Schizosaccharomyces pombe: one gene and its partners. Changing the gene in region 1 together with any one later gene gives a genetic interaction. Each region holds a gene or a part of one and is shown in the gene's direction. Other genes may lie near its edges.

Region 1 (8,832 bases):
TTGTAGATGATACTGCATTAGAAGATTTGAAAACCAGGCTCCGAGGCGTAACTGATGGTGTTTGGAATGCTTTCGAAAAGCTAGCGGGTTTACTGGAAGAAGATTTGTGTGCCAATTATCATAAACGTTTAGAAGCTGTTTCATTAGACTTCTTACCTCCCGCTTATAACGATACTGCCGAAGAACTTGCGGATTTGCTTTTGCAAGTTGCTCAACATTACGATCAATGCTCCGAAGCTCTCAATATTTATGACACCCTTTCTGATGCGGAGAAGAAAGATCTCCAAGAAGTGCTTCAATCAGACTCTAATCATGTTCCTTCGGTATTGACAGAACTTAGGAGTGGATTAGATCAAACAATTCATTATTTCAACGCAGTTCAAAGTTATAAGTCAAAGGTAGATTCGGCAACATCGATTTTGGAAGCCTTGGCTGAGGAGTTAAACAAAAACCAGTTGACTAATCAAAGGCATGAAGCCGCGCATGAGTTAATGAGGGCGCAAACCGGCCTGGAGATTCCGCAATTAGCTCAAGAACTCGTGCAGCTTGAAAGACATTACACACATTTTGCTAAAGCGTATACCGCTCTCCTTCAGGAAATTCACAGACGACAAACCTATGAAAATTGTGTAAGATCCATTGTGGACGAATTTGTGGGACGCCTGGAGAAGGAACAACAGGCGGAGGCGAAATGTCGTATCGATTTTTTCAATCAATATGGTGATTATTTACCCCAGACTCTATGGGGAGCTGTAACAGATCCTCCTTTACATTTTGAAATTATAGAGCACCAATATACAGAATTGCCAAACGTAAAGGTAATTCCTGATAAAAACGATAAGAAATCGAAGCAACGTGAAAAATCTTCTACTACAGCCTCTAAGCGATGACCCTGTTAGCCATATTTTACGATTTTTAAAGTCTATAAACGTATAATGATTTTAGTTATGCTACTAGTTTATGAGTATTGTATAGACTTTTCCAATAAAGATAATTATATAAAATAACCGTAATTTTTTCCCCTGATTACTTTTTTCTTCCAGATTGTTTTAGTTTGCGCTTCTTCTCATACTTCGGAATCTTGGATTTTCTTTTCTCAGCCTTATCTTCTTTGGTTTTTTTTTTCCGTGCCCTCTTCTCCTCCGGTGTCTCCTTTGCACGTCCGTTTCCTTTACCTTGTTTTGCAGATGATTTTGAATCCGAAGTCCGTTCTTCTTCATTTTCCATACTACTTATAGAATTTGCATCATCATCGCTCTCCGAAGTCTCATTTGGGAGGATTTGATCGTTTTGATTTTTTGTAGTGTCATTTAAATCCAATTTTTGAAAGTCTGTATTTAATAAGTGCTTATATACAAGGCTATTAACACCTCCGGCGTTTACGATTTCAGTATCTCGATCAATGTCGTATACCTCATCTAAAGTCCGAGGAACATAAGTTTTTAAGAATTCCTCTTCGTATTCTTCTGTAGTAGGTTCTTCCTCATAAATTGCATTTAACCGGGTTTTCATGGCTTCCTTTTCACAACTTCCTTCTTCAGTAATGAATTTAAATAATTGAGGTAAAGATAAGCAACCAGCATTCAAACGCCTAAAGAATGTAGAAATGTTTAAAATATCCATTCTTAAAAAATCGATGCTCTGCGGGTGGTCATGTTCAACCGATTGTGATACATCAATAAAATAAACTTTACCTTTATGATAAAGTAAATTATATTCTGACAAGTCAGCATGCACGAGATGACAAACATGAAACAAAATACGCATATTCCGTGCTACAAGCTGATATAATTTAGTAGCCTCACCAGGCGTCATATCTATATCCTTTAACTTGGGGTATGCCCATCCTTTCTTGTCCCCCAGAAACGACATAAGCAAAACGTGCTGCTTCAATAAGATTGGCTCTGGGCAAGGAATACCAGCAGCAGCCACACGCTTCAAGTTTCTTATTTCTTTTTCAGCCCATAAGCGTACCATTTTTCGGGGATTGCGCTTGTTATACCCATGACGAAAACGAAATTCTCCAGAAACATAGCGGTCACGATCCTTAAATACTAAGATTGAAGTCTTATAAATTTTTATAGCAAAATGTTTACCATCCTCGTTTGTTGCATGATACACATTTGCTTCCTTTCCCGTGCTTATACAACCATTAATTTCTGATATAGTTCCATTATTTATTAATTTTAATAAAATCATTCGAGTACGGGGATCCAGCACTTGTTCAGATGTAGCGCGGTCACTTTTATCCTTGATAGATGACTTGTCTTTATTTGTCAGTACTATTAAACATGAAAATGTAAAAGTGTGAAGGATCAAAAGACCTCGAGTTCTAAAACCTATGAGCAGTTAAACTATATTACACTTACCCTCTGCCTCAAACCTGTCATTTAATTTTATATTATTCACATAACGACTAAGCGTAGAAACGTGATCATTAACTGAATTGATCTTAGAAGAATTATTCCCAAAATTTTCCTGTCTAGCAGAATAATCTAGTAAAAATGTTATTAATGATCATGAAAAATGGTAACAAAAATTCATGCAAAGTGCTTTTGGCTATTCAGTATATGAACTTACTTGAAGAAGCTTGATTCCAGTCTATATCGTCTTCCCTAAAGTAATCATTGTCAGAGCCATCACTAAAGTCGCTATATTCTGATTCTTCTTCATTTGTCTGTGCATCGTTTTTTAACTCCTCAACCATCTTAAACTTTAAATAAATCAATAAAAGAATAATTTATTTAAAAATTTGACAAAGAACTGGATACAAATCCAAGTTTTTGTATTTTGTAGGTGGTAGTAAAAACTTTTTGTTGTAAATAAAACTGGTATATAAAAATGTAAGAAGTTAGCAAATTATGATTACCATAAGTTACAAGATGATTTTTGCAAACCAATGATTTTTTTTTTAATTTAGTGGATTATATTTTTTCCATTCTTCGATCAATAAAATATATATTACATTTCCAAAAGACATTTAATGTTAGTGTGAGCGGCTTTCCTCATTAAAGCTTGACAATAAAAAGTCAGATAGAAAAGAAACAATACATAAGCTCATATATGCATTTTTTTAAATTCATTACTGAAACGCTGACGCTCAAGAGCAGCTTGCTTATTTAACACTAATGCATACTTGGCATCTAAAAAATCACATACTCAATTAAGCTAGCGCGCTTTCTACCAATTTGATTGTGCATTCCCAGTAGTTTAATAAAGAAATATTATATTTGGAAATTGATGCGGCAGTAAAGAGAAAAGCAAACGATCTTCAGTTAATACAGTTTCATATAGAAAAAACATAACAAAATCAACATCAACAACTCAAAGAATTTCTCATCTTGGTTAGTATGAATGAATTATTATGTTGTAGATTCTTAGAACTCTGTTACCACAAAGATTGATACTTACACGCCATAAAGAAGACACGCGACGCGTAAATACTTTAACCCAAACCAACCACAAATCTATGTATATCACAAAAGTAAGTAAAGCATTATAGAACCCCAGTTAACTGATTTATTAAGATTGTTATTCAAGGGTTTAAATCTTATAAAGATTATACTGTAATAGAGCCTTTAAGCCCTCACCACAATGTAATTGTGGGACGAAATGGATCTGGTAAAAGCAATTTTTTTGCTGCAATTCGATTCGTATTAAGTGATGCGTATACACATTTAAGCCGTGAAGAAAGACAAGCTTTGCTGCATGAAGGCCCTGGTGCAACTGTCATGAGCGCATACGTTGAAGTTACGTTCGCTAATGCTGATAATCGATTTCCCACCGGTAAAAGCGAAGTTGTCTTGCGTCGTACAATTGGATTGAAAAAAGACGAATACTCTTTGGATAAGAAAACTGTAAGCAAGACAGAGGTTATTAATCTTCTCGAGTCTGCTGGGTTTTCAAGATCCAATCCTTACTACATTGTTCCTCAAGGAAGGGTCACATCCCTAACCAATGCAAAGGATTCAGAGCGTTTAGAACTTTTAAAAGAGGTTGCAGGTACTCAAATTTATGAGAACAGAAGAGCTGAATCCAATAAAATTATGGACGAGACAATTCAAAAATCGGAGAAAATTGATGAACTTTTGCAATACATTGAAGAACGGTTGCGTGAGTTAGAAGAGGAGAAAAACGATCTTGCAGTTTATCACAAAAAAGACAACGAAAGAAGATGCTTGGAATATGCTATTTATTCTCGCGAGCATGATGAGATTAACTCCGTATTGGATGCCTTAGAACAAGACCGGATAGCTGCACTTGAGCGTAATGATGATGATTCGGGTGCTTTCATTCAAAGAGAGGAACGCATTGAACGAATTAAGGCTGAAATTACAGAGCTCAACCACTCGCTTGAGCTTTTACGTGTTGAAAAACAGCAAAACGATGAGGATTATACCAATATTATGAAAAGTAAAGTCGCATTGGAATTACAGTCTTCTCAATTATCACGTCAAATTGAATTTTCGAAGAAAGATGAGAGCTCAAAGCTCAACATACTTTCTGAATTAGAGTCAAAAATCTCTGAGAAAGAAAATGAGCTTTCAGAAATTCTTCCAAAGTATAACGCTATAGTATCTGAAGCTGATGATCTTAATAAAAGAATCATGCTGCTCAAAAATCAGAAGCAATCACTTTTGGACAAGCAATCGAGGACTTCTCAATTCACTACCAAAAAAGAACGTGATGAATGGATCAGAAATCAGCTCTTACAGATCAACCGTAACATTAATTCTACAAAGGAGAACAGTGATTACTTGAAGACTGAGTATGACGAAATGGAAAATGAACTCAAAGCAAAATTATCTCGTAAAAAGGAAATTGAAATTTCCCTTGAATCTCAAGGTGATCGAATGTCGCAACTACTTGCTAACATTACTTCAATTAATGAAAGGAAAGAAAATTTGACGGACAAAAGGAAATCTCTGTGGAGAGAAGAAGCCAAACTTAAGTCGTCTATCGAAAATGTTAAGGACGATCTTTCTCGTTCTGAGAAGGCTTTGGGGACTACAATGGATCGGAATACAAGTAATGGTATTAGAGCTGTCAAAGACATTGCTGAACGTCTGAAACTCGAAGGTTACTATGGTCCACTTTGTGAGCTTTTCAAGGTTGATAACCGTTTCAAGGTCGCTGTTGAGGCTACTGCTGGGAACAGTCTATTTCATATCGTGGTAGATAACGATGAAACCGCAACTCAAATTCTTGACGTTATATATAAAGAAAATGCCGGTAGAGTTACGTTCATGCCTTTGAACAAGCTTCGTCCAAAGGCGGTTACTTATCCTGATGCCAGTGATGCTTTACCTTTAATTCAATATTTAGAGTTCGATCCCAAGTTTGATGCTGCGATTAAACAAGTTTTTTCGAAAACCATTGTTTGTCCATCGATTGAGACCGCCTCCCAGTATGCTCGATCTCATCAATTAAACGGTATTACTTTAAGTGGTGATCGATCTGACAAAAAAGGTGCATTAACTGCCGGGTATCGTGATTATAGAAATTCCAGGCTGGATGCTATCAAAAACGTTAAAACATACCAGATCAAATTCTCGGATTTACAAGAAAGTTTGGAGAAATGTCGTTCCGAAATTGAATCTTTTGACCAAAAAATTACTGCATGCTTAGATGATTTGCAAAAGGCTCAACTAAGTTTAAAGCAATTTGAAAGAGATCATATTCCTCTTAAAGATGAACTCGTAACTATTACTGGAGAAACAACAGATCTTCAAGAATCAATGCATCATAAAAGTCGTATGCTTGAGCTTGTTGTTTTGGAACTACATACACTTGAACAACAAGCTAATGACTTGAAATCTGAATTAAGTTCAGAAATGGATGAACTTGATCCCAAAGATGTGGAAGCACTAAAGTCTTTGAGTGGTCAAATTGAAAATCTCTCTCATGAGTTTGATGCCATCATTAAAGAACGAGCACATATAGAAGCAAGAAAGACGGCTCTTGAATATGAATTAAATACAAACTTATATTTAAGAAGGAATCCATTGAAAGCTGAAATTGGTTCTGATAACAGAATAGACGAATCAGAATTGAACAGCGTAAAGAGATCTCTACTTAAGTATGAAAACAAATTGCAAATTATTAAATCTTCATCTTCTGGGTTGGAGGAACAAATGCAAAGAATCAATTCTGAAATAAGCGATAAACGAAATGAATTGGAATCGCTAGAAGAATTGCAGCACGAAGTGGCTACCCGAATTGAACAAGATGCAAAAATTAACGAAAGAAACGCAGCAAAGAGAAGTTTGCTTCTCGCACGGAAAAAAGAATGTAACGAGAAAATTAAATCATTGGGGGTTTTGCCGGAAGAAGCATTTATTAAATATGTTTCAACTAGCTCAAATGCTATTGTGAAGAAACTTCATAAAATCAACGAAGCCCTTAAAGATTATGGAAGCGTTAATAAGAAAGCATATGAGCAATTTAATAATTTTACTAAACAACGCGATTCATTGTTGGCTAGGAGAGAAGAGTTGCGTCGTTCTCAGGAGTCAATTAGTGAGCTTACGACAGTACTTGACCAAAGAAAAGATGAAGCAATTGAGCGTACCTTTAAACAAGTTGCTAAAAGCTTTTCTGAAATATTCGTTAAACTTGTTCCGGCAGGTAGAGGTGAATTGGTTATGAATAGAAGAAGTGAATTGAGTCAAAGCATCGAACAAGACATCTCCATGGACATTGATACGCCATCCCAGAAAAGCTCGATCGACAATTATACAGGTATCAGCATAAGAGTTTCTTTTAACAGTAAGGATGATGAACAACTGAATATTAATCAATTGAGTGGCGGTCAGAAGTCACTTTGTGCTTTAACTTTAATTTTTGCTATCCAACGCTGTGATCCTGCGCCTTTTAATATACTCGATGAATGTGATGCTAATTTAGATGCACAATATCGCTCGGCCATTGCAGCGATGGTCAAAGAGATGTCAAAAACTAGTCAATTTATTTGCACTACTTTTCGGCCTGAGATGGTGAAAGTTGCGGACAATTTTTACGGAGTAATGTTTAATCACAAAGTTTCAACAGTTGAGTCGATTTCTAAGGAGGAGGCTATGGCATTCGTTGAAGGATAAAATGGTTATGGTTTGTTAATTTAAGTTCGCATTTTTCTTTTTAATTTCTTTGCGTGGACAAACCGATCTTTTTGCTATTAGTCATTCTTTCATTAATATCTCTGTTATTTAATTTTATCATACTTAATTTATAATTTTTATATTCATGATGCAATTGCGCTTGAATCAATCAGTGCGTATTACTACCAGAGTTGATACTTTCACATATAGTTTTTTTAAAGTTCTAATCCCAATGGAGAGTCATTTTAATAACTTTTTCCAGATTTCTATTTGTATTCAAAAAATCGAAAGCATGTCGTAGCGTTAAGACTTGTATAAATTCGCTATTTTAGACCTCCAGTCAGTGCTCTTAATTCGCGACAGTACTTACTACATTGTGCGAACAAGATCAAAGGCAGAGCATCTATATCCATGGAAAACCCTCCATACCATGTATCTATTTCCAAATCGGAAGGTGAATATTTTGAAGCTTGATTGATTTTTTCATTTACTAATGAATACTCAGAAATTAAATATCGCCAAAAGTGCAAGGATTTAAAGGCTAGAATTCAGGAGATCCAAAAAGGAAATCAGGAGTTATTAAGCAAATATGAGGTTATTCGAAGAGCTGTCAAGCGTGGCCGATTAGAAAGAGCTATCTTAATGGAACAGTTGGAATTGCAAAGTGAAGCAAAATCTCGCGAATTTGGACAGCGCTCTGAGCCATCTCCTCCTGTAAGTGTTTTTATAGAGTGAATTTATTGTAATACTTGTACTAATCATATGTAGCCTCCTCCCGAAGGTATTAAAATCAAAATATCAACGAAAGGCGCTGGAAACCCGTCTGCCAAGAAGTTAAAGATATCTACAGAAGAAACATCTGATACAAACGTAGCATTAAACAACACGTCGGAAATATCTCATAAATCATCAAATAATTCCCAGCCTAAAGATGCATCCGTCAATGACACAGATGCAGACTTTGAGCAGCAAAATCAAGTTGTTCAATCAAAAGATGAAAAAATTACGAATACTGATCCAATACCTTCTCCTATTATTACAAATCTTAAAACAGAAAGCTCAAAATCATCTGGAGCTAAAAAAGCTACTTCTAATGCCAAAATTACAGACACAATGTTATTCAACCATTTTTCGTCTATTCAAAAACCAAAATTAAAGGCCGAAGGCTCTACCTTGAAGGGACAAGCTTTGAAGAAAACTCTTGAAGATACATGGAATAATTTGACCGAAGAAGAGAAGAAACCTTATCATGAAGGATTGCTTGCAGCGCGTGAGAAGGCCAGAGAAGCAAGACGTCGACGAAGTGCGCAAAATTCAGCAAAACTAGAGAAAGAGAAAGCTAAAGAAAAGCAAAAGGATAAAGATCAAGAACAAGACACTGTTAGTGATAAAAATCAGATAGATGAGATAGAAAAAGGGCAGAAGGAAGTAGATGAAGAACCTGTTTCTGAACCCACCACTTCGCCTATTTTACCTCCAAAAAATCAAGAGCCAATTCGTATGGGAGGATTCACCGTTGTTAATAGATCCTCTAATGCTTAAAAAGAGCTTTCTGATGCAGGCATCAGATCAATGAGGCAATGCTTAAACTTTGTGTCTCAATATTAAAGGTTGGATTAGAAACTAATAGTTTGTCCACAATATATTTTCCTCCTCCTTGCCATTTGCAAAACTTTTTCAAGGTTCCGTTTTCTCTTCACATTATTTACTACCATTTATTCTTTTTTTTTGACTT
Region 2 (6,141 bases), on another chromosome or scaffold:
TCATGGCAACCTATGCCTCAATTTTAGGAGATTATAATATACAAACAAAAGGATTGAGATTTACTTAATTAAAGGTTTAAAAAGGGATAATGAGTCGGATATCAAGCAACAAGTATCCATTTTAATTTTAAAACCAACCGTTTATTAATTTATGAAAGGTCAAATTCTCTACATCTATTTGTTAATATAAATGTTCCAAATTTTTCCCAATTTAAAATATTTCTTGCACTATTTAATCCAAAACTATTGGAAATATTATAAAACATGTTAAAGTGATTATGATATTGAGCTAAAAAATGCACGCGTCCTAAAATACGATTGTTGAAAAAGTATTAAACACGCGTATCCTTTAAGAAAAAGATAGCAAAACCTCAATTCTTAAACCCATCCCGCAAAACCCGAGTTAAATAAAAGATTTTAAATTAATAAAATCTTCTACTACATTAAAGACTTTTCAAAGTAGACAAACGAAAAATGTGATAAAAAAAAGAATGACAAGCTTAGACTTGTCATCAAAAAGAAACAAAAAAAAAAAGAAGATCGATCATTAGGGAATATCAGCGGTCTTCTTAAGTAGATGATGGTGGACATAGTCCAGGAAATCCAAGAGTTATTTCCAAACTTGACAAAACTTTTGAAATATTAAATAGTAATTAATCATATGAGTGACAGAGAAATATAACCCAAACGAAATATGCTATGCAGGAAGAAAAAATCTGATTCCAAAAAAAATGTTTACATGTTAAAATTAGAAGCCGATAGAAAGACAAATGTTTGGAATATTTTCGCATTTAGAAATAATCAACGGCTCGTGCACGTGCGAAATCAACGATACGCCAACCTCTTGTCTCCGGATTATCAAGCTCGTCTTCTACACGTGTAAAGACAGAAGCATAAGTACATTGTTGAATACGATCATCCTTTCCTGCAACTAATTCGCCACTGCTAGCATCTTTAAACATATGGACCTCTTGAGTACGAAAAGTGACGATAAAAACGGGAATATCATTTGGCTGTAAAAGTCTTTGAGACATGATGTCGACGCCACGAATGTCAAGGATTTTACCAACACTAACAACTCCATGTTTCGCATATTCCTTGGTAGTAGTTTCATATACGGAAAAGGGGGCTTCCGAAAGCCAAGTCTTCAACACTTCTTTGTCTCCTTTAACATATGCCTCGGTAACTTCCGGGACAATATATTCTCTTAAATATTGAAGGAAATGCTCGGTATTAAAGGATGGGTCAATCTCTTTAAAGCGTCGCATAACCTGCGATGCTTCAGTTTCTGAAAACATTCGAGACCAAACGCCACTAATACTGTCGGCCATGTCACGAATGGAGGAGACAATAGGATGTTCAGACTCCTGATAACTTTTTTTAAGCTCTTGAATTTTACGAACTAAACGCGATTCGTTTTTTATTTGCTCAACCTTATTCTTCCACGACGGGTTGCTATGTACGACGACGCTTTGGACGTCTTCGTTAGGCTGAATCCTTGCCGAGCTAGCAAACATTCTGTTTCGACGTTCAAATTCTTCACGCAATTTTTTACGTTGTTCCTTGTCAGCATAAAATCCATAACGTGAAGAGGTGCTACCATCAGACATTGTTTGCTTAATTGTTTTATAAAATGCAGTTTCACGTACGGGTTTTGTGGCAGTGTCAACACCAGTAGCTACAGTATTAGCGGTGCTTGAAATGACCTTTTTTGATAATTGTACAGGAGCACTTTCCCAAGCTTTTTGGGCATATGAGCCAATCTTGGCACCAGCTTTGCCAACAGTTTTTCCTGTGAAAGATGAAGCTGCAGTAGTTCCCGAGCGCGCTTTTTCGTAAGCATCTCTCGCTTTTTTGAAAGTGTCGCTTTCACTTAATGATCCTGAACTATCTTGCAATGCTTTGACACTGTCCTGTAATTCCTGGCTCTTCTTTAATTCTGCTCTAAATGTATCCATGAACACCTTGATTGGCGATTGAGGTGCTGCATTTTGAGAGAATATAGACGTTTGGAAAAACCGCTGGCATTGAACTATTGTGCGGGCATTTTTTGTGATTTTTCTTGATAGAAACATTTTCTTTCCTATTGAATAAATAAATCTCAACGCTATTACGCGAAAATTAATCCACTTTGCTGCCTTTTATTGCAAACCGATATAGCAGCCTAGTGAGTGGTGGATGGAAGGTTCAAGTGCCACAAAGGTGGAAAGATACCTTAATCCTAAATATCGAGAAGTAGTCTTTTGTTAACAAAAGTTAGCATATTCTCTTATATTTGGACTTTTTTACTTTACTAAGAGGAGTTTACGATTAGAATTTTTACGAATTCGCTCATTTTATCTGAAATGCAACTATTAAAATATTGATATAGAGGGAAGCATAAATTACGCATGATCCTAATATATTAAAGAATAAGAGTACCGATCAATTTCCTTTCGTATTGGTTGAAACAGTCGTAGCTGTTGCTTACAATATTGTTGGGAATCGATACCATGTGGGTGGTAAGAGATCGTATGAAGTTATGAAAAAAAGTATTCAATAAGCAGCATAGATATATTACAATGCGTTATATAGAACTGGATAATTTGAGTATGTAGCGGGTTTTGGAGATAAAAGCAATAGTATTAATTAGCATTTTGAAGTTTCGTTTATTCATTTGTAGAGATTTTTCAAATCTAGAAAAATTTAAAGATCTCTTAATTTTGTATCTTTTTTTTTTTTTTTATCAGTTTGATAGAATGTTTGTATGTAATTCTTTCTAATAACATGCGACGTTTGTTGTGCCCCTAAGTTTCTTTGATGAAATTTATTTGAAAATAAGGAAGTAGCTGGTTTATACAGAATTCAAAAGGCGCATTTAAGTTGTAGTAAACCTCGAATTTTTCTGATGATTAATGTGTTTCATGATTTTTTATGAAAACAGTTGTTGAAGCTCCTATATTATTTATCACAGGTTGTAAATTTTCAGCTTCAATAACGAAATGGGATACTTAAAGTCATAACTGATCAATTTTGGCAGACAGATCTAGCTTTAAAAGCTTAGATTCATTCAACATCAAGTTTATACGAAATGATCAGTTGTAATACACTTCCAACTTTTCTGATAATGATTCAGAATGATTACAACATAGTATAGTTGGAATGTAAAATTATTTGTTTCATGAAGAACTGGTTTTCCATCTTGAACACTAGACGATAAAAGCAACCTGAATATCATAAATCATCTTCAATCCAATTAAGCAATTCAAAAACAAAACAAAACAATTTATTATGCATTTGTAAAAGTAAAAATTTAAAAGGTGATCATATTTCTTCAAATTATCGCTTTGTTTACTATTTTAAATTGTGCAGGTCACAATTGAATGTCACCTGTGAAATAATAAACCAGCCTTGGACTATAGACAACGATGTTGCCAAGAACCATGTTTTCATATGGAAAAGAAAACGCTTTTCCTGTAACTCCCATATCAAACAGAAATGGTACAAAAGGAGCGGGCTCCAAAAGAGCACCATTGGGGTCTACAAAGCAGTCGAATGCACCTTCTTCTGTAACGGTTCCTAGAACGGTACTGGGAGGTAAGAGTACTAACATTTCCAAATTTATTTCTGCTCCCAGTACAAAGAAAATGTCTCCTATGGATATTTCGATGGATTCCCCTACTATTTTGGAGCCAAACTCACAAGGAATTTCCCGATCAGCCGTACAAGAGCGGTCGAAGCGACTTTCGGCTAGCCCTCGTCGTTCCTCTTTAACAGACACTCCTTTACCAAATGAACTTGAAGAAGATATCGAATATATGCCTCCTCCTGTTCATTTGGACCCCATTCAATCCCTGGGGTTTGACGACGTTGCAATTGATTGTGAAACGCTCGATCCTTGGCCTAGCATGCAGAATAAGGCTACCTCAGTAACTATTCGTAATACACCTGCATCAGATTTCCATGTTTACAAGGAGTTCAGTGATGATGATCCTATACAATTTCCTCTGCTCAGCGTAGACGGTGACTCCCCGTTAACAGAAAAGGATACTAACCTGACAACACCCGCTACCTTGAAAGCTTCTGATCAACAAAGAAAGGTTCTCGAAAAGCCTTCTGTCAGCAAACAATCCTCTTCCAGAACACGACTCAGTACCGTTTATCGCACCAAGCTGGCATCTGGTAAATCCATCCCTCGACCCTTATCTCATAAACTCACACGACCCCGAGTAACTGCATCTGGCAATAGCCGTCGGCGCCCTTTATCTCGTTCTATTCATTCGTTATCATCTTCACGAATTGATTTTTCATCTTTGGATACAGGATTGTTATAAAAAGATTCCGAATTTTCAGGTTTTGTGCGTACTGGCTTCCGCTTCTACGATTGTAAGTATGATTCTTCCGATGGCTTTGATTTCCCTTGTTGTTTAATTTGTTTCACCACTTTAATGCTGTTCTTTTTTTTTTTTTTTTTACTTAAATGCATAAAGCCTATACGGTCCTTAATTTATGACATGTTTTTCGTTCATGACTTTTCTGTACAAATGATTTCCTTTTCTATATGCTTTTTTTTTTTTGGCTTTTCTGGTTCAATATTTTACTATTGTAATGTAGATGAATTATGTTAATAATATTGTTATTTTCATTCTACGTTGATGAATATTATAAATACTAGTAGGTAAGATGCTGAGGAATAGAACATTTTCCAGTGTTAGTAGTAGTAAAGTGACTGATAAAGAGCAAAGGTATCCAAAAATTTTGGCTACACATAAAAATATGTACTAGGTCAAAGACAAATTTCTGTGTTTTACAGCAGATGCACACATTCCAAAAAAAATTAAGATGATTGAAAAAAAAACACTATATAAACGAAAACTAAAATGATCATCTAAAAAAAAAAAGGATGCAAATTAGCACAAAACAATTATATCAGCTACTTCTACTACAACAACAGTTTACTTTAATACTAATAATAAATAAACACGCAACCTGGCAAATTAATCCAAAACGCAAAAAGGATAAAAATTTCATTGCATTCTATAAAAATAAACATGTATTGTAAACATTAGTAAAATTTAATGTATGCTCAGAGTTTAAAACTTAGCAGCCTTGATGTACTTGCCAGCATGGGCACCAGCGTAAACACCCTCGGAACCGAGTTCCTCCTCGATACGGAGAAGCTCGTTGTACTTGGCCAAACGCTCGGAACGGCAAGGAGCACCAGACTTAAGTTGACCGGCACCAATACCAACAGTCAAGTGGGAGATGAAGGTGTCAGCGGTCTCACCGGAACGGTGAGAAACCATAACACCCCAACCAGCCTCGTAGGACATGCGGACGGCGTTCAAAGACTCGGTGACGGAACCGATTTGGTTGACCTTCAAAAGAAGAGCGTTAGCGCACTTCTTGTCGATGGCGGTACGAAGACGCTTGACGTTGGTAACAGTCAAATCGTCACCGACAATTTGGAAGTCGGTCTCAGCCTTCATGTGAGTCCAGGCAGACCAGTCATCTTGGTCGAAGGGGTCCTCAATGGAGACAATGGGGTACTTCTTGGAGAGCTCGACGTAAAGGTCGGTAAGTTGTTGGTAGGTAAGCTTGTTCTCGGGCTTGGGCTTGGCGGCCTTGATGTCAAGGTCGTACTTGCCGTCAACGTAGAACTCGGAGGAGGCAACATCAAGACCAATCTTGATCTTACCCTCGTAACCAGCCTTGTTGATGGCCTCAACAATAAGGTCAAGAGCCTCTTGAGGGGTTTGCAAATCGGGAGCAATACCACCCTCATCACCGACATTGCCGGCAGAAGAACCATAACGCTTCTTGGCAATGGACTTGAGAGTGTGGTAGGTCTCAGCACCCCAACGCATAGCCTCGGAGAAAGAGGGAGCACCGGTGGGGAGGATCATGAATTCTTGGAAAGCCAAGTCACCACCAGCGTGGGAACCACCGTTCAAGACGTTGAAAGAGGGAACGGGGAGGACATAGGGACCCTTGGTGCCAAAGTTCTCGGCAATGTACTTCCAGAGAGGGAGCTTCTTTTGGGCAGCACCGGCACGGCAGATAGCCATGGAGACACCCAAGATGGCGTTAGCACCCAACTTGGACTTGTTCTCAGTACCGTCGAGCTTAAGCAAGAACTCGTCGGCGGCCTTTTGGTCGGTA
Region 3 (9,172 bases), 810 kb from region 1:
CGGTGAGGAAAAAACATCTAATTTGGATTGCATATATTGACTGGTATTTTGATTGCTTCCAAAAAAAAAAATAATTGTCAACAAAAAAAAATTGCAAACTAATTTTATGCATTAAGCTTTGGTAAACAGAAAAAGCTTATAAAGCATCCAGCGGAAGCAAAAAAATGACAAATCAAAGGATTAAATAGATATGGAAAAAGAAAGAATCCTAATAATATTCAAATGCATTAGGGAATAGTCGTTATTTTTGACAAAATATTATGAAGCCTCACTTATAGTCTTCTTTTCAAGAGAAACAAGCCGAATATTGAGACATTGCTATGCGTGATAATTTTCATTTTTCACTAAATCCCCAATAAAAAATCTCCGAAAAATTCTTTTCTCTAAGGTTAGCCGCACTTCCATGCAGAGAAGAATTCCATACGCGAACGCTCCCATCGTCTGAAATACTTGCCAATTGACCTTCACTAGACCAATCAACTGCAGTAACATCCTTAGTATGACCACCTGTGAGCATAGCAGACGATGAACAGTTTCTTGTTGTGTCAAAAACAACAACACCACTAGTCTTGTCTTGAACGCCTCCACCGCAGGCTAAAGTTGCTCCGTCAGGACTGCACGCCAACTTTACGTAGAATGAAGAAATTCTGAGTCTAGGGTCTTTGTAAGTCTTGCAAAATCCGGAGTTTAAGTGACGAGATGAATATTCATAAATGATACTATCTCTGGAAGCAGCATAAATACGCTCACCGTCAGGAGAAGTACAAACATTAGTAACACCAAAATCGCGTTTTGAAGTAGTTAATTCGGGAGTAGTAGCAGCAGGTAAAGGTCGGACGGTATGTACAGTTCGTAAATCCCATAACTTTAAGGCCGAGTTTGCAGAGCAGGACGATATAACTTGCGAAGTAGATTGAGGGAGCCACGTAGCTGAGGTAATTGAGCAATCCCTTCCCGAATTTTCATGTGCTTTTCTTATCCTTAACACTGGTTTCTGAAAATGCTCACCGTCAATTGTTATCCCGTGTGTTCGCATATCCCAAAAGATAATGGAACCATCCCGAGAACAACTTACCAAATTATAAGGAGAATCATTGCAAAAATTAACCTGCTTTACTGAATGAGAGTGGTATCCATCGACACCTCGTCGTCCCAATCGAGTGATGCATTGTTGCGTTGACAAATCAAATACCTTTGATGTTTGATCGCCAGATGAAGTAGCTAATAATGAATCATCTTTAGAGAAATTAACACTAAATATAGCATTGTTGTGAGCAAGCCAGCCATGGATTCTTCGAGCAGACGGCTGATTTTCCTCATTCTGTCTATCGTAAAATCGAGAATCAAACAGCTCAAGAGCTCCAGTCTCAGTACATACGGCCAATAAAGACTCGTTATTAGCAAATCCAAGACAGAACGGGAGTTGGTTCAGCATCATTAAGCATTCCGAAGGTCGTGAGTAATATGTTTCGAGATTGAGTCTACCTCCCACATGACGAGAAGTTTTTGTGCTAAAAGGGTGCGACCGGGAACCTCCCAGTTGTCTGATTAAAAGTTCTTTACAAAGTTGAGCAGGTTTTTTTTGAATATGAACTGGCTTGTGTAACAGGGGTTTCTTTTCAAACACAATGCGTTTTCGAGGTGTTTCAATTTTTCCTCGGCTTTCTAGGAAGTCGTAAAGCTTATGTTTTTTGGAAGGTGCTGCGGGAGAAGAATCAGGAGTCGGAGGTAATGAGTTATTTGCACGTGAGGTAATATCTCGAAGCCCACCAACATCACTCAAAGCTTTTCCAATGTCCATATTCATGGTATAATCATGAATCTTAATTTAATCCGCTTTTGAGGTCGTGTGTTCCAGTTTAATTTAAGTAGTGGATGGTAGCGTGAGTATATTAGATTTTCGTGACGCGTGAACGCGACGCGTCCGTGATCCATCACATGCACCAAACGTTACCCAGAATATGTTAAAGTAACAAAACGCGTATTTCAAAGTCATGTTTAAGCATATTTGCAATTACAGATGGGTACAGCCTAAAATTCTTGAGGAATAAATAAAAAGGATAAAAGTTTTCTAATTACTTGTTAATTTTTCATAAAGGATGACTTTCGTATTTCTGCCTATGATATAATGAGCGCTCGAAAAGTTGTCAAATATCTCATTTATTAATAATAATCGAAAATATTACGCGTCAAAAGAATCTTTCACTCACAATTCTATACTTGTATAGTCAAATTACAATCTCAACTCGCGGAGTGAATATAAGTTAGCTGTTCACCTTGCAGGACCCAAAAGAAAATAGTATATATTTGTTTCAATCAAGGTAAAGAAAATTTTAATGTAATAACTTCGTTAAGTATAAATTTCCTTTCGTATCCTTGGATTTTCAAACACATTTATCCTGTCTAACACTATTGAACAAGACAAGTTCGTGCTTTTATCAACTACAGGTTGTGAACAACCTCCATTGTACAACACCAATAGTGCATTCATTACACTCTTTCCAATATTTCTAATTACACCTCTTAATTTATTTATAAATTATTTCTTTTTTTCTTCAAATGAGTGAGTCTGTTACTACTGGATCTGATGATGATGGAGGAGACAGAGAATCTTCCCCTGTAATGCTTTCTCAAAGTTTTGATCCCATGAGCAGTAGTTCAAATTCATCTTCTGAAGAAAATAGCGATGATGATTACGAGAAAACGATAAGCTCAAAAAAACGGCATCCACGGCCAAATTCTAAAGGAGTAAATGTAAAACGCTCTAGGAGGAACGCTATAGTTGAAGAGGATCCTCAAGAAGAAATTTTTAACAACTTATTTGGTAATGATAAAGTCCTTCTTTTTTTCAGCTACTAACACTGAAAAGCTTTTCTGCTTGACCAAAAAGTTGATACCATGGACATCGCGGTTTCGTGGTTTGCTGACTATGCAAAAGATAATCAATCTGCCCTTGCAAATCTTATTAACTTTATTTTAAAGGTAGAGTCATTCTTTTCTTTCTTTACTAAATATTTTAGTGCTGTGGTTGCAATCGTGCCATTAATGTGTTTGATGTTCAGGATCAAGATTCTGCTTCAGCTACTCTATCTCAAATTCAACTTTCTGTAGAGCGTGTAAGTGCTTTTGCGAAAATACTTTATTTGTATATTAACAACTTTAAGACTTCTACTCGTGATTATCCTTTAAATTCAAAAAATCTTAAGTTTAGGAATTTCAGAAAGAGATTGACCGGTCTTTTAAGCAACTTTGTGTCACAGTTGTCAATAAGAAATTACTTGTACAATAGCACTGTTTTTGAAGATATTATGTCTTGGGTCGTTGCCATGTCTTCTTCTACGATGAGACCTATTCGGCACACCGCCACTGTTTTCTGTTTGAATATTATGACTTTTTTATGTGAAAAATCTAAAGAACTATTGAACGAGCATGCAATTGCTACCAAACAGCTCGAGAAAGAAGAAAAGCGCTCTCGTGTAAATAGAAATCGCATCAACGAACTTAATAACAGTCTTGGTGAAATAGTCAAGCAACAAGATACATTGACTACATACTTAAATGACTACTTTGATAGGTAAAGATCCCTCAAACGCTTTAATTTATTTATACTAACCTTTATATTAGTGTCTTCGTCCATCGATATCGAGACGTGGAGCCTAAAATAAGGGTAGATTGCTTACAAGAGCTTGGGGTCTGGATTAATACTGTTCCAAGCATATTTTTTTCAGGAAGTTATTTAAGATACCTAGGATGGATGCTTTCAGACATAAACACTACCGTCAGATTAACTGTAGTTAAAGTTTTGCGCAAATTTTTTGAGACAGATTCATTTATTGGTGGATTAAGACATTTTTCTTCTAGATTTAAAGAAAGAATACTCGAGATGAGTTGTGTGGACGCCGATATTGGAGTTCGTGTAGCCAGCATTCGTTTGTGTAACGCTATGAGGACTTGCGGATTTTTAGAAAATTCTGAAATTTTAAAAGTGCTGAAGCTAATTTTAGATATCAATCCAAGGGTGCAACGTGAAGCCGTACTGTTTTTATGCAAAGTGGTTGACGAAAGTGTGAATGAAAAAATTGATTTATGGGGTGAAGAAGACTATATTCTAAAGGCCTTTTCTCAGACTTCACTTACTACATTTTCAGTTCATTGGATAAAATTTTCCCAAATGTGTAAACTTTTGGAGGAGGTTAGATTGTCTTACCAATCGAGCTTTGATTATGATACATTATTACGAATCTTCCAAAAAAATGGTAATTTCATTACTCCTATAACACAAGCTTTACTTAATGCATGTGAAATTGATTCAATCTATCAGTCATGGGAGGATATTAGCAACTTCGTACTTTTTGATAATTATACCTCGACTCTAAAAGATCCGATAGACAGTATACTTTCTTTCTGCAAGCTAAATGATTTTCAGGAATCTATTCTTTTACAGCTTCTCTCTGCTTCAATCCAAACTGTCTGTAATAACAATTTTATCACACCTAAAACGGTGCATAATAAGCAAGCGGCGGAAACGACCAACGATCAAAATAAAGATAAGGACTTACTTTATTTGAATCTTCTTCCTTACATTAATTCAATAACTGAGAGAAATTCTGCTTCACCAACACTTCTTCATGATTCTCTTCGTTTGTTATTCTCAATGGATTTGACAGAAATGACAGACCCTCAACTTTCCAGACATTTTGAACTTCTAATTAATAATTTAAAAAAATTTTTCCTAACCAATAATGATCTTCAAATTATTCAAGGTTGCACGATATTATTTTTACGGTTGGACTCTATTCCTGCTTTGAAAGAAGATTTGAAGCTTCTGGTTACTGACATTTGCGACCAGACGGTAACCGAATTTTTAAAGAATTTTGGATCTTTTAATATTCAAGATGCTGTAATAACAAAAGATGAATTTGTTATTTTTGAAGCTTGTTTAACAAGAATCGAGGGATGTACCTCTCTCAAAGATTTTTCTGACTATCCTGAGTTTGACATAATATATGAAAGGCTTGTTTCGCTTCTTTCGCGGGTTCCTAATAGCTATGAAGATACATTGAAGTTTTCTGCAATTAATACTTTACAGAGTCTATTGTTTTGGTTCTTTCTAAGGAAGGATAACCCTGCTGATGAGGAAAAAAAGAAGGATGATGAGACTAAAGTTTTTAATTGTTTGATTAATATTATGAATAATGACAGCTCTAAAATTTTGCAACTTCAGGTATACAAAATCAACTTATTATTTGATTTAAGAAACTAACTTGACCAGGCAGCCCGAACTTTTCTGGAAACAGTGATAATGAAAGAAGGTGTTAAAGCATCACATTACAACGATGACAATCGTGTATCTGAGGAGCATAACTTTTTAAAACCTCAATTTTTAGATGCTCTTTTAAAAATACTTGAGGGATGGTTATACACATATGCCAAAGTTGGTCAATTCCCCTTCAAGCGTTTGACTCAAGCAAGTTCTCCACATACACAAATTTCTTTGGACAAAAATCCACTTAATAGAAGGCTATTGGAACATGTATGTTGCGATTTGACTAGTAAATTATTAATAGTTGTTTCATTGTCAAATACGATAACACCAGAATTTTCACAACAGTTTTGTGAACTAAGAGGGCACTATGGACCGAAATTATCTGCTATTGTGGATGAGTTTTTGAATTAATTAAATTTAGATTTAATGCCTGCTGTATATTTAAAGTAATTAATTATTTTTAAGTCAGCATTAGAAATAAATTCTTTTTTCATTATTAAAAAGATTATTTCCGCTTGGTTTTCATTAATTCTCTATATTTCTCTATAAGTTCCAAACGCTGCTTTCCTAGAGCTTGGCGTCGTGCCATAGATTCTGTTTGACCCATATTATTAACTTTGGGAACATTTTCCAAGTACTTTGTCTCTTTAATTTTTAATTCCGGAAGTTCAGGAGGAGCTTGCACAGTTTCTCCAAAGGAAGGTTTTGTTTGTAAATTAGCCCACGGATCAGGCGAATTTTTTCGTTTTTTTCTAGACTCAATTTGGATAAATTGTCTAATATGTTAGTTTATACGAAATGAAATTGGTGATATACACATACCCAGTAGTATCCGCCTCCCATGTTTTATCTTCAAAATTTTCCTCAATTTCATTCCAGTCTCTTTCACGCTTCTCTTTTCTTTTCGCTATTTTTTTCTTTTCTTTTTTATCAGTAAATTCGTCTATTTTGCTCGGCCCAGACTTAAAAGATACTGGAATAGCCTTATTTACGCGCTGACTAAATTCACTAAGGCGTTCACCGGGTAATCTTTGAATTTTCCCATAATCTTTTTTTTTCTTATTTTTAAGGTTGCCTTTCTTTATTTCCTTCTTTTTAGATTCATGGTACTCTTTTTGCTGTAGCAATCGCTTGAATTGCTTTGGGAAGTTGTCATCTACACTTTCATCCTCCTTGGGAGCATGATCGAGTCTATTAACCAAATGTTAGTAAAAACATCTTGCTATAGAAATTTTTTACCCAATCTTTTTCCGTTCAGCCTCAAGAACGGACCTTTTCTTAGTCTTAGTAGGCATATTGCGCTTGGATAGTAAACACAAACGAGAAGCAAGTAATAAAGGAAAATAGCGAGCCTAGCTCGTATCGCAATTTAGATAAATTTGGATTTGTTTTAATAGATACTCATGGGATAACAGTAAAGTTTATTAATGAATACAAATATCTTTTTTTATTTTAGTGGACAAGCTGTAACGCTTTAGAGAGAAAAAATTTCAGAATCAAGTTGGAAGCAAGCTTAGTGAAGATACTTTTCGAATCATACACGAAAAATATATTAAAAAATATATATATCAAACACCAAATATACACTATCTTTATTAAAATCGTAATGCTCTTATATGTAAACACTCAACTATCTTTCTTGTTGAGTATTTTGCGAGCTAATTAATAAAAATTAAAATGACTACAAACAGAGTACTTGAAATTATATAGAAAGCGAAACAGTACAAAATTACAATAACAAAATAAAAAATTCGATAACAATCTGCTTCCATAAGAATCAAATTTTATTCTCGATTAAAAGAAAACTGTTCCCAAAATCCAAAAGTTTAGATGAGCAATTTCTCTATTGCCAATTTAATAGCTTGAATTTGAGGAAGTAAATCACTAGCCTCATTGGTAGTAATGCTGGCTGAAATCACCGGTCTACTTACACCACAAGCACGTCCCAAAGCAGCCTTGCTAGGAACAAAAACATAAGGCACATTCTTGTCCTCACAAAGCAATGGCAGATGCAATAAAATCTCTATGGGCTCGGTATCAGCCGCCATTACTATAAATTCACTAATACCACGGTTCAAGGTTTTGGTAGCCTCATTTGCACCTTTGCGAAGCTGCTTGTAATGAGAGGCCTGTTGTACCAAGTCGAGAATTTGTTGGGTTAAGCCAGAATCGGCTAAAGGAAAGGCCTAACAATGTTAGTATGCAATAAAACGAATATAAATTTCGGAAAAGTTCATTTTCCGTAATAAAATTGCCGACGAAACTAGCATTTGAAACTAGCATGCTTTCAGCTATTTCGTAGCCAAAGAAGAAGTCTTATACCATTATTAACATACCTTTGGGTTAACTGACATTTTTTCGGGTTCCTTGCTGTAAAAAGTAGTATCTGACCTACAATGGTGGTTGCTCGCCCTTGCTAAGAAATTTTCTTTAGTAAACTTCACTTTAGCTGTAGTCCAAAAGTACAAGTAACAACATCAACGTTAGTCGATCCTTCGATCAATGTAACTTGGAAAATTAATCCAAATTTGCTTAAATTTGGAATTCTAAGAAATTTATGCACATTAATAATCTTAATTGTTTCTTGGCATTACACTATGAATATGGAGGACTCAAAACTATAAATCAGATTGGTGAGTTTATTTCTATTGAGCAGGCATTCTTCAATTGGACATTGTTTACCATATTTAACAGAATATAATAACATTAAAAAAAGTTGGAACTGCATATCTGATTGAGAGCTGTATTGTTATATAGTCTATGGACTTAGCAAAAAAGAAGTTGCTAATAATCTACTATTTAACTTTTAAATTTTAGCAAAGTACATATAATTTGTCCTAAAAAAAAAAAAAAAAAAAAAAAAAAAAAAAAAGCCCTGGTACATACTATTGAAAGTGTGTAAATTGTAATTTAGCTAAAATATTTTCCCTTAGTGGTTTGGAATATAGGTTTTTAATAATATTATAATTTATAAAAACTTTGCAAAACACTTTCTAAATAATATCCAAAAAAGTTTATACTTTCTGTTAAATTCATACTTCGATCTCCAGGCTACAACTTTATCTACTGTAAAAAAAGCTGAATAAATTAACAGCGAGTACATACACATTTGGATATGTGTTTAGGAAATTCATTGTTTTATATTATTAGATAAAATTTTACACTTATTTATTCAGCTCATATAACCTGCATGTTCGTGCAAGCAGTGGAAGTGGTTGATATAGCTCTACACTATTTCAATTCATTCTACATTCCGCTTACCCAACAGCTGTCACATCGAAAATAACGCTTCAGCATATTGCTAAACGCGTATTGCAATTTTCAAGAAATATACTTTTGACGAAAAAACATGTACTAGCGGATTTTTTCTTTAACTCTTGATGAAACTAAAACTGTTTCCATTTCAAGCTGCTGGTCATGGCCAAGTACTAGTCAGTGAGGATGATAAAATTCTAATTAAGCCATGCATTAAAAGTGAAGTTGATTTTTATAAAACATGTAACGACAATATTACGCTCTACAACTGGATTCCTAAGAATTTCGGTGAGTGGATGCCTTCTAGTAGAGACATTGAGGGTATCAACCCGATCGCAGAAAGTGTTGCTTTTTCCTTAACTGGAAAAGCTATAATCTTAGAAAATATTCTGTATCAGATGGAAACTCCTTGTGTCATGGATATCAAATTAGGAAAACAGTTGTGGGCCGATGACGCTCCTCTTGAAAAACGAAAAAGATTAGATGCCGTTTCCAGAAGTACGACGAGTGGTAGTCTTGGATTTCGTATAACTGGTATATTGTCGTGGGACAGAACAAACAATACGTACATTAAACGATCAACAGCTTGGGGTAAAACCCTTACGGATTCAGATGTCGTAGAAGGCTTAAATGATTTTTTTGTCTCTTGCT
Region 4 (8,391 bases), on another chromosome or scaffold:
ATTCATAAGCCCGTGTTTTTGGATCCAAAGCTGAACGAAGCTTCGATGCAAGGCCACCCAAAGGCTCCTTCATCAACTCTTCAATTACACATCTCTGTGACTTCATGTTAAGCATTAGTCCTGGATACGTTGGTGAAATATTGCAGTACTGCCGTACATCAACAGCACGACAAAGTGTGGATGTGGCTGTAGGGTTCAATCGAGAAATGCAGCAGCGAATAATGGCTTACCAGACGAATGTGGTAAGGGAATCGTCGGTGGATATATATTCTGAGGCAAACGACGAGGGGAGAGTTTTTGTAGCCAGTGTTTTAAGAGCGGTGAGTGAGTTATGGTCGAAGCAAAAGTAACTCCAAATACATTTAGGAGGAGGAGGATGTGATTTATCAACGCTTTCAAGTTCGGAATAAAAAGGAGGTGACTTCAAAATGAAATGATCCATCTCAGAACCTGGTTCGTAAGAGTCTTCGAGTAAAGGGATAAGGTTGTAACGGGGAAGGTTACCATCGCTAGTAAATGGTTCATTGCAACAAGCTTTAGAAAAGAGGTTGATAACCTAACCTTGGCCGGTCATATCCATTGCATTGTGCTGACCGACAAACGTAAGCACGAGACCACCAGTGATGAAACTGGCTTGGACAAGGAAAACTGGATCTGAGCCTAACGTTTGTTCATCAGGATCTCCTGGAATCGTTTTGCGAGGTGCGAAAATACTTTCGTTCAGCATACTGAAAGGAAAATCGGCTTTTCTGAGCGCGTCCATGGAGGGTATAGAAGGGACATGCTGAAGATCTTTGACAAAGAAAGGAGGCGTTTTCTCATACGGTTTAATCTTGAATATATTAAAGCTTTTTCCTTCTGAACTTTCGTGAACAACCTGACCAGCTAGCCACGGAAAACTGGCTGACAGACGCTCAAGTCCATTTGTCAGCGTCTCAATAATTGCTGAATGTGAGGAATCATCATCGACTATTGGAAAACAAAAGGATATCTGGGTATAGATTTTAAGTGATAATTGCTGTGCTAAAACATCCGCGAAATCATAGTTGTTTCATCCATGATATTGGTTGCACTAATATGTAGTGGGCTGATATAGCGTACATGGGTATGGTATGGGTACGACTCTCTGTAGCAGGCTCAATTAAGCAGCTTGCTTAAGAAAAGGAACTGTAGGGTTTCTCAATACATTTTGCCAACTGAAGGACCATGTAGCATTGAGTATTTTTTGTAGGTTACAAGGTAATCGCGGCAATGTGAGTTACGTGTTGAAAGAATTTTGGAGTCGAACTCAAGTCCAGCAGAAATGTCTATTTTTATACATATTGGCTCAACCTCCATCTACACTCATATGTTAAAATGGTTAAACATATAACGCACTCAAGCACATTAGAATCCATCAAAAAAACAATCAAGGGTTACAAGATGAACGTTTATGGCTTAAAAAAAACCATCTCTGCATCTAACTGCATCAAGAATTCTTAACCCAAATAATGTACGTCGAGCTATTAGTAAAAGCCTGTTTTTGTTTATAGTCTTAATGTTTAACTAAAAAAGCTGGGTCTCTAGGGAAAAGTATACTATTAAAATCAGCAAATACGGTATATTTTAGATTTATAGTCATGATTATTCAATAATTCGTTCAATATAAAAGGCATAACAAAGAGTAATAGGCACTGCTAATAATTGTGCATTTTTTGAAATAGTCAGAATCCTCTGGAGAATAAAGTGCTATCTTCTTATCAGATGAAGATAAACTCACTTAGGCCTATCAAGCAAAACGTAACTTTAGTAACAAAAGGAGCTTGAAGATCTTAAAGATAATTTGTATTAAATCATAATTGCTAAATAAATTAATAAAAGGGAATATGTGGTATTGGAGTTTCGCCCGTAATTTTGGCAGTTAAAAAATGGCGACACGGTTAAAACAAGTAGGTAAGGGTGGGTAAGTAGTTTTGAAGATGGAAAGAATATTGAAAGGTTGCAACAGGTTAGGCTGTAATTTAAACAAGTAAAAAATCACTTTTTATTATATTCACAGTTTTTTGACTTTTTTTTTTTATTTTCCAGTCGTTATACAAGGATCGTCGTAAACTAAGATACAACAGGGTAAGTTACTCATCGCTTTCAGGTAAACAAGAACACTGTCTTTTTATGATGATTCATTTTGAATTCGGACACAAAAAGCAGAAACGGGAGACCCAAAGAAATCAAGCTTTTCGTACTACTTCAAACCGGAGGAATTAAGTCTTAAACGGTTCAATAATGCATTTAATATGGGCAGAAGCACATAACGATATCCCACACTAGGAAAGCCCAAAGCAAGGCTAATTAATCCAAGCAACGAACCAAACGTCAAACTAAACATCAACGAGAATAAAAGTACAATTAGGCTAAATTTAAGAAATACACTTTGATGTTTAAACCATTGATAGCCCTCTTTGGATACCTCTTCAATAGACGAGTAGCTATAGCGCGACATAAGACTAGGACGACCATCATTTTCTAGATGTGGAGATTGCCCAATTGGAGATTCATCCTTCAATTCTCTTTTGATATCGATATTCTGTTCAGTCATTTTGTTTTGTGGCAATTTAGTTTAATATTCAATGTGTTCCAAAAGAAAAATAAACGTTAATAAAGGTAACTGTTGTATTATTAGACAATAGTCCTTAGCAATCTATTTAAATGTAACAATTGCTTTAGTAATTTATACTTTTTCTCTTTTAAAGTCAGTGAACCGTTGTTGGGAAAAGTCAAGAATCAAGGTTAGAAACATATACGTATTCATTTTATTTACGCCTTCCCCCACATTGGATATTGCCAACAATGAACAATGACATTAAACTTCTGCAGAGGCGAAAATAATGCTATACATTCATTTTATTTATTAAAATGATTTATGAGCGAATTGCCTTCTTCCAACAGTCAAACTCGAATTCCCCTTCACTAAAACATACGGGAACTGTTTTGCGCAGTGTCCACTATTGGGAAATGGAAAAATCGAATTTGCTAGACGAATATGGATGGAATTCTTGTCTATTCCTTTTTCTATTTTTTGTTTGATTTTTTAAATAAATTAGCTTGTTTATCGAATTTATCTGGATGGGGTTTATCGTTAAAAAAAAACACCCTACCCAAAAAAAAAAAATTTATTTATTTTTATAAGTATTTTTATTCATTAACCTTCTTCTGGCATACGAGTCACAATCAACCTTTTAATTTTGACAATAATATAATAGAAATAAAATAAATTTTCAGTCGTGGTAATTTCTATTACATATTCGTTTAATGTAATGTGTTTTGACATTACTAAAATGGGATGAAAACATCCTTTTACGAGTCTATTTAATCATACAGAAAAAATGGCATTGAAGATGCAATTAATGAATGGAATTCATTTGATAAATGTATTCAATGGAAGGATAATGCTTCCAAAATAAGGATGGTCAAAATTTAACTCAAGATTGTTAAAACAAGGTTGTAATCGGAGTTTTCCGTTTTATTGAAAAACATATCCCCTTATGTCTTATGACTATTTTAATTGAATAACATAATTCAAATGCCTTTTGTTGCCTTCTATGCACATATGTGAACGTAAATCTAGCGCATCATTTTATAATACAGTTAGTAGGCCGAAACATACAAGCATATAACAAAGATAAATCAACTTCTTCGAGGAAGCATATTCCCTTGATCATGCTCAACAGTTTCTAACTTCAATACAAGCTTTTTTTATTCATTTATTTAACTATTTGTTGCTACACATACTAGTTTGTTTATGTATCATATTCATTGTCGGCATGGCAACGTGGATTTATTTACGCGCAGCGCGTACTCATTTAACCAGCACCACGTATATTCATTTTTACAAATACCCAGCTTATATCGTAGTGAGGAGGCGAATTTTGCGAAAGAAAGCATTTCTTTCATTTTAATATTTATTAATTTTTTGTTTATTTTTGTTCTTTTTTGATTCCCCTCTTTTTTTTGTCTTTACTCTTTAATTTCTTTCTATCTTTTTCTCCTAATCATATTAAGCTTCTTATGTTCTATTCAGAGGCCATTCTTTCAAAAAAGGTATGTAGTTTATAAGTTTTCTTTAGCGCGTAAACAGTGCTAATTTGTCTTTGAATCGTCTGACTAACTGTTCGCGTTAGGGTCCTTTGGCCAAGGTATGGTTGGCAGCTCACTGGGAAAAGAAACTTTCCAAAGTGCAAACTTTGCACACCAGTATTGAGCAAAGCGTCCATGCAATTGTCACGGAGGAAACCGCTCCAATGGCCCTTCGCCTATCAGGACAACTAATGTTGGGTGTTGTTCGCATTTATTCCAGAAAGGCTAGGTATTTATTGGAGGATTGTACGGAAGCGTTGATGCGTTTGAAAATGTCCTTTCAACCGGGTCAGGTTGATATGATTGAACCAGCTACTGCTCTCCAATCTTTAAAAGGTAAAGATGCTGTGACACAGAGCGCTAATCTCACTCTTCCTGAGACAATTACAGAGTTTGATCTTTTGGTACCTGATAGTACATTTGATTTTCAATGGTCTCAACTTCTTCGTACACCCTCTCGTTCTTCGAACACTCTTGAACTACATTCTTTACCAATATCTTCCTCTCCTTCTTTTCCATCTTCCCAGCTATCAATTGAGGCTGGACGAAATGCCCAAGTAGAATCAGGGTTTTCCTTGGGCGAATCATTCGCACATGTTGGCAATGATATGCAGTTTCATCTTCCCATTTCAAATTCCGGTGCTGCTACACCTAGAAGTGTGCACTCTGATAATCAGTCCCAAATTTCTATAGAAGTAGGTAGAGATGCTCCTGCTGCTGCTGCCACCGATTTAAGTGGAATTATTGGGCCTCAAATGACTAAGTCGCCGGCTAGTTCAGTCACTCATTTTAGTACGCCAAGCATGCTACCAATAGGAGGAACTTCATTGGATGATGAATTGTTGGCTCCTGTTGATGATTTAAACCTGGATTTGGGCTTAGATGATCTTTTAGGAGATGAACAAGGTGCTAATGCTCCGGCGATAGAGGCTGATGAACAAGCTGAAACATCAAGTATTCATCTCCCTTCTGACATTATGGAAGATGATTCATCTCGTCCTGCAGCAGCAGGAGTAGAGGAAGGTCAGGTTGTTGAAAGCGCCACTGCTCCTCAACAGGAAAAGATCAATCCACAGAAAACTGTACGTCGTCAACGTGCAATTATTGATCCCGTTACTGAATTGTCCTCCAAGCAAATGAAAAAACAATTGGCAGATACATCTTCCATCACCTCACCGTTATGCTTGAATACATCTTCCATCGTGTTTAATGCCACCGTTAATTTTACTCGAAACGGTAAATTTAATACTTCCATATTTTCTTCCAACCTGAACCCTAAAGTAAACGAGCTTTTGCAAGCTGATTTCAAACAGGCAATTCTAAGAAAGAGAAAAAATGAGAGCCCAGAGGAAGTCGAGCCTGCCAAGCACCAACGTACTGATACCTCAACTGAAAACCAAGAAACTGCTGAAGTCTTGGACCCTGAAGAAATTGCAGCCGCTGAGCTTGCCAACATTACTGAAGCCGCTATCGCTACTTTACCACAAGAAACCGTTGTTCAACCAGAAGGAGAAGCTCCTGAGCTTGGTTCGCCAATGGGATTTCCTGTTACTGCCTTGGAATCAGCCGATGATTCACTTTTTGACGCTCCTCCCGTAATGCTGGACGAGGCCGATTTGCTGGGAAGCGAACGATTGGACTCTTCGGTATCTGAGGCCCTTCCTAGTTCACAAACAGCCAAAGATTCTCTACGCAATAAGTGGGATCCTTATACTGAAGGTGAAAAAGTATCCTTCCAAACTCTTAGTGCGGGATGCAATAGAGAGGAAGCTGTTCAACTTTTCTTTGATGTCCTCGTTTTAGCGACGAAGGATGTTATATCTGTCAAGCAGGATGTTGCCATTCAGAACGAAATCACGCTTACTGCTAAACGTGGAATGCTACTTTCATCACTATGAGAGGTCGGTTAATATTTTTTCAAAATCCAATTAGATCTATAAATAAGTGTGAATACTTACACGAAATAGATTTTTATGACAGTAATATTGTTCATTGCTTTCTTTTATCTTTATTTTATTTTTGGAATCACGAGTTGTATGTCTTTCTTTTTCCGAGTTACGATATTACTGTTGGATGTATGTAATATTATCAGCTCAACACAAAGTTATGATTAGAAATAGCTTACGCGCTTTTTAATTTATTCTCAATGATTGATCTATCTCTTAAAAATCTTCCTTTCAATGCGATGATACGGGTTTACTAGGATTGAATATATAAAGACAATATGATCATATTATATTAGGCGTATCTTTTTTGTACCCAATGGTTGAGAATTTGGAAGCGAGGAAGCTACGGTAACTTGCATACCTTTGGAGCGCGCCCAATCTATTGCATCTCTAGAAACAGAATCACAATTAATAATATCTATACGTTTTAATTCTTTCAGTCCTCGTAAAACTGCTATAAATCCCGATCCATCGAGGGATATTGAATTTGAAAAGTTCACATACTTTAGATTTGGACAACAATCAGTAATGTGTATTGCATGCTTATTTTGAAGAGCAACGTTATCAGGAATCTCAAGATGCTCAAGTTCCGGTAAAGATGCAAATATTTCAAAGAAATGGGGGGCCAATGCTAGCGAATCGTGTAGAACCAGCTTTTTTAGTTTGTAACAAGAAGTCAAAAATTTGACAACATTATCGATATCATTTTGAGATAAACGAAGATAAAGAAATAACTCTAAGTTGATTAGTGATTCCATCCGGACATTTGTAGGGAATAAATATGGACATAAAATTGTAGATGCAGGATTGCAGGGTTTCACAATTAACGTGGTAAGAGATTGAGGAAGGAATGCTAGATCTTTAACAGTATTCGATACTCCTTCATCAATGATAATTAACGATCGGAGATTAATTTTATATTTTTTTATTGCAGCAACTAGGTCTGACTGATATGAGGCTTCCAGATATTCTAAATATGGACTGGCAGACAGCAAGTCTTTAAGAAATTGCTGTTCTTTATGGTGAAAGGGAAACTTTTGATTTCGGATAAACGTCAAAGATTTAAGAGCCAGCGGTACAGATTCTGCATTAAAGAGTTTATCCCAATCCATAGAATCAAATATCAAATCGGGAATTAAGTCAACAAGCTCAACCTGCTTGAGTTTCTTACAGCAAGATAAAATCTTAGAAGCTATGGAAAATGTTATAGGAGTAGCACAATAAAAGTAGTGAAGTTCAGAAAATGGCGTCCAAATTGTATACAATTTATCCGTTGACTGAGTGTGGAGAGGTGAAATGGTTTTGTAGACTTTAAGTGATTTGACTGAACGAAGTAAGGCTTTGGTAGGTGTTAATATACCAAGCTTCTCTAAGCCAATTACTTCCTGTATATTGTCTTTTGAATAAACAGAGTATCGAGCAACAGCCATAACGTTTCGATCTCTAGAGTTTACACTTCGAGGAGAGGCGCATGAAAAGTCTAAGCAACAAAATAAGCTAGGTTCTTTCTTAATACAGTCTCTCCAGTGTTTGCAGACTTGCATACACTGAACAATACTTTTGAAATTTAGTTGCTGTAGAATACATAATAGGACTTCTCGGGGAAGAATGCGAAACAAATCTAGTACCGGCCTGGTCCGAAGAATTCTTTCATTCAATCTTTGGCTTACTTTTTTTAATACCGGTCTCAAGGGATCCATTTTATGCACCATTCGCAGGCCTTGCGTATACAATTGATCTGCTTTCTTATCAAAGCCGTCAAGCTGTAAAAGTTTTCCCAAGCGTAGGTAACCTCTAGCATTTCTTGCATTCAAATGAATCATCCGTTTAGCATCAAGTTCTGCTTGTGAGTATTGACCTGACTTTTCGTAAACTTGAGCCCTTAGTTCAAACAAGTCAATCGTAGGATTGGGCTCCTGTTCGATGGTTTTAGTAATGAATGTCAATGCATCTTCAAACTTCCTTTTAGAGAGATATTGCTGGGTCTTCTCCTTTATTGCTTTTACTTGATAGTTATTCATGAATCCAAATCTTAATTTCTATACCCAACGATTTATTTTTTCTATACATAAACATAAACCTCCCATATAGCTTCCAATGAACCGTATTTTAAGAACCTCGATATCCTTTTTGAGGTATATATTATGCTTTCGTAGTCGCAAGCTTTATGGAGTAAGTTAGAATTGTTAAAGGATAGTTAAAGCTAGCGCCTTCAAATTTCATTTAAACAGAAATTGAATGTGCAAAAATACTAATAATAAGCATGTAACCAAAAGTTTGGAAAAAAAAGTATCTACTTATTTGTTATGCTTTTCATATGTTAAAACACGTA

What was found.
Region 2: of psm3 (region 1) and cut2, a mutation in one rescues a mutant of the other (synthetic rescue), as found in Schizosaccharomyces pombe (one study listed by BioGRID).
Region 3: of psm3 (region 1) and psc3, a mutation in one rescues a mutant of the other (synthetic rescue), as found in Schizosaccharomyces pombe (one study listed by BioGRID).
Region 4: of psm3 (region 1) and rad21, a mutation in one rescues a mutant of the other (synthetic rescue), as found in Schizosaccharomyces pombe (3 studies listed by BioGRID).

The regions. Positions count from the first base shown.
Region 1 is NC_003424.3:1,219,474-1,228,305, reverse strand, and holds psm3 (mitotic/meiotic cohesin complex ATPase subunit Psm3/Smc3), read left to right. Parts: upstream 1-3,447; 5' UTR 3,448-3,469; coding exon 3,470-3,484; exon of another isoform or gene 3,485-3,527; coding exon 3,528-7,097; 3' UTR 7,098-7,337; downstream 7,338-8,832. Other genes in the region: autophagy-associated protein kinase activator Atg17, read left to right, coding at 1-890; rio1 (RIO family protein kinase), read right to left, coding at 1,027-2,267, 2,370-2,495, 2,581-2,707; Ino80 complex HMG box subunit Nht1, read left to right, coding at 7,509-7,551, 7,603-7,811, 7,866-8,639.
Region 2 is NC_003423.3:2,201,488-2,207,628, reverse strand, and holds cut2 (securin cut2), read left to right. Parts: upstream 1-3,412; 5' UTR 3,413-3,422; coding exon 3,423-4,313; 3' UTR 4,314-4,629; downstream 4,630-6,141. Other genes in the region: TIM23 translocase complex subunit Tim44, read right to left, coding at 792-2,075; eno101 (enolase), read right to left, coding at 5,073-6,141. UniProt on the Schizosaccharomyces pombe protein: Regulatory protein, which plays a central role in chromosome stability. Probably acts by blocking the action of key proteins.
Region 3 is NC_003424.3:2,033,844-2,043,015, forward strand, and holds psc3 (mitotic cohesin complex non-SMC subunit Psc3), read left to right. Parts: upstream 1-2,451; 5' UTR 2,452-2,559; coding exon 2,560-2,824; intron 2,825-2,869; coding exon 2,870-2,982; intron 2,983-3,020; coding exon 3,021-3,116; intron 3,117-3,164; coding exon 3,165-3,574; intron 3,575-3,624; coding exon 3,625-5,224; intron 5,225-5,272; coding exon 5,273-5,677; 3' UTR 5,678-5,771; coding exon of another isoform or gene 5,772-6,042; 3' UTR 6,043-6,088; coding exon of another isoform or gene 6,089-6,457; 3' UTR 6,458-6,505; coding exon of another isoform or gene 6,506-6,561; 3' UTR 6,562-6,701; downstream 6,702-9,172. Other genes in the region: SPOM_SPAC17H9.18C (uncharacterized protein), read right to left, coding at 1-112; WD repeat protein Cdt2, read right to left, coding at 335-1,807; SPOM_SPAC607.02C (uncharacterized protein), read right to left, coding at 5,772-6,042, 6,089-6,457, 6,506-6,561; U3 snoRNP-associated protein Snu13, read right to left, coding at 7,093-7,452, 7,603-7,620; arg82 (inositol polyphosphate kinase), read left to right, coding at 8,647-9,172.
Region 4 is NC_003421.2:1,339,048-1,347,438, forward strand, and holds rad21 (mitotic cohesin complex non-SMC subunit Rad21), read left to right. Parts: upstream 1-3,845; 5' UTR 3,846-4,044; coding exon 4,045-4,077; exon of another isoform or gene 4,078-4,157; coding exon 4,158-6,011; 3' UTR 6,012-6,346; downstream 6,347-8,391. Other genes in the region: SPOM_SPCC338.18 (uncharacterized protein), read right to left, coding at 2,222-2,575; F-box protein Pof3, read right to left, coding at 6,347-8,080. UniProt on the Schizosaccharomyces pombe protein: Cleavable component of the cohesin complex, involved in chromosome cohesion during cell cycle. The cohesin complex is required for the cohesion of sister chromatids after DNA replication.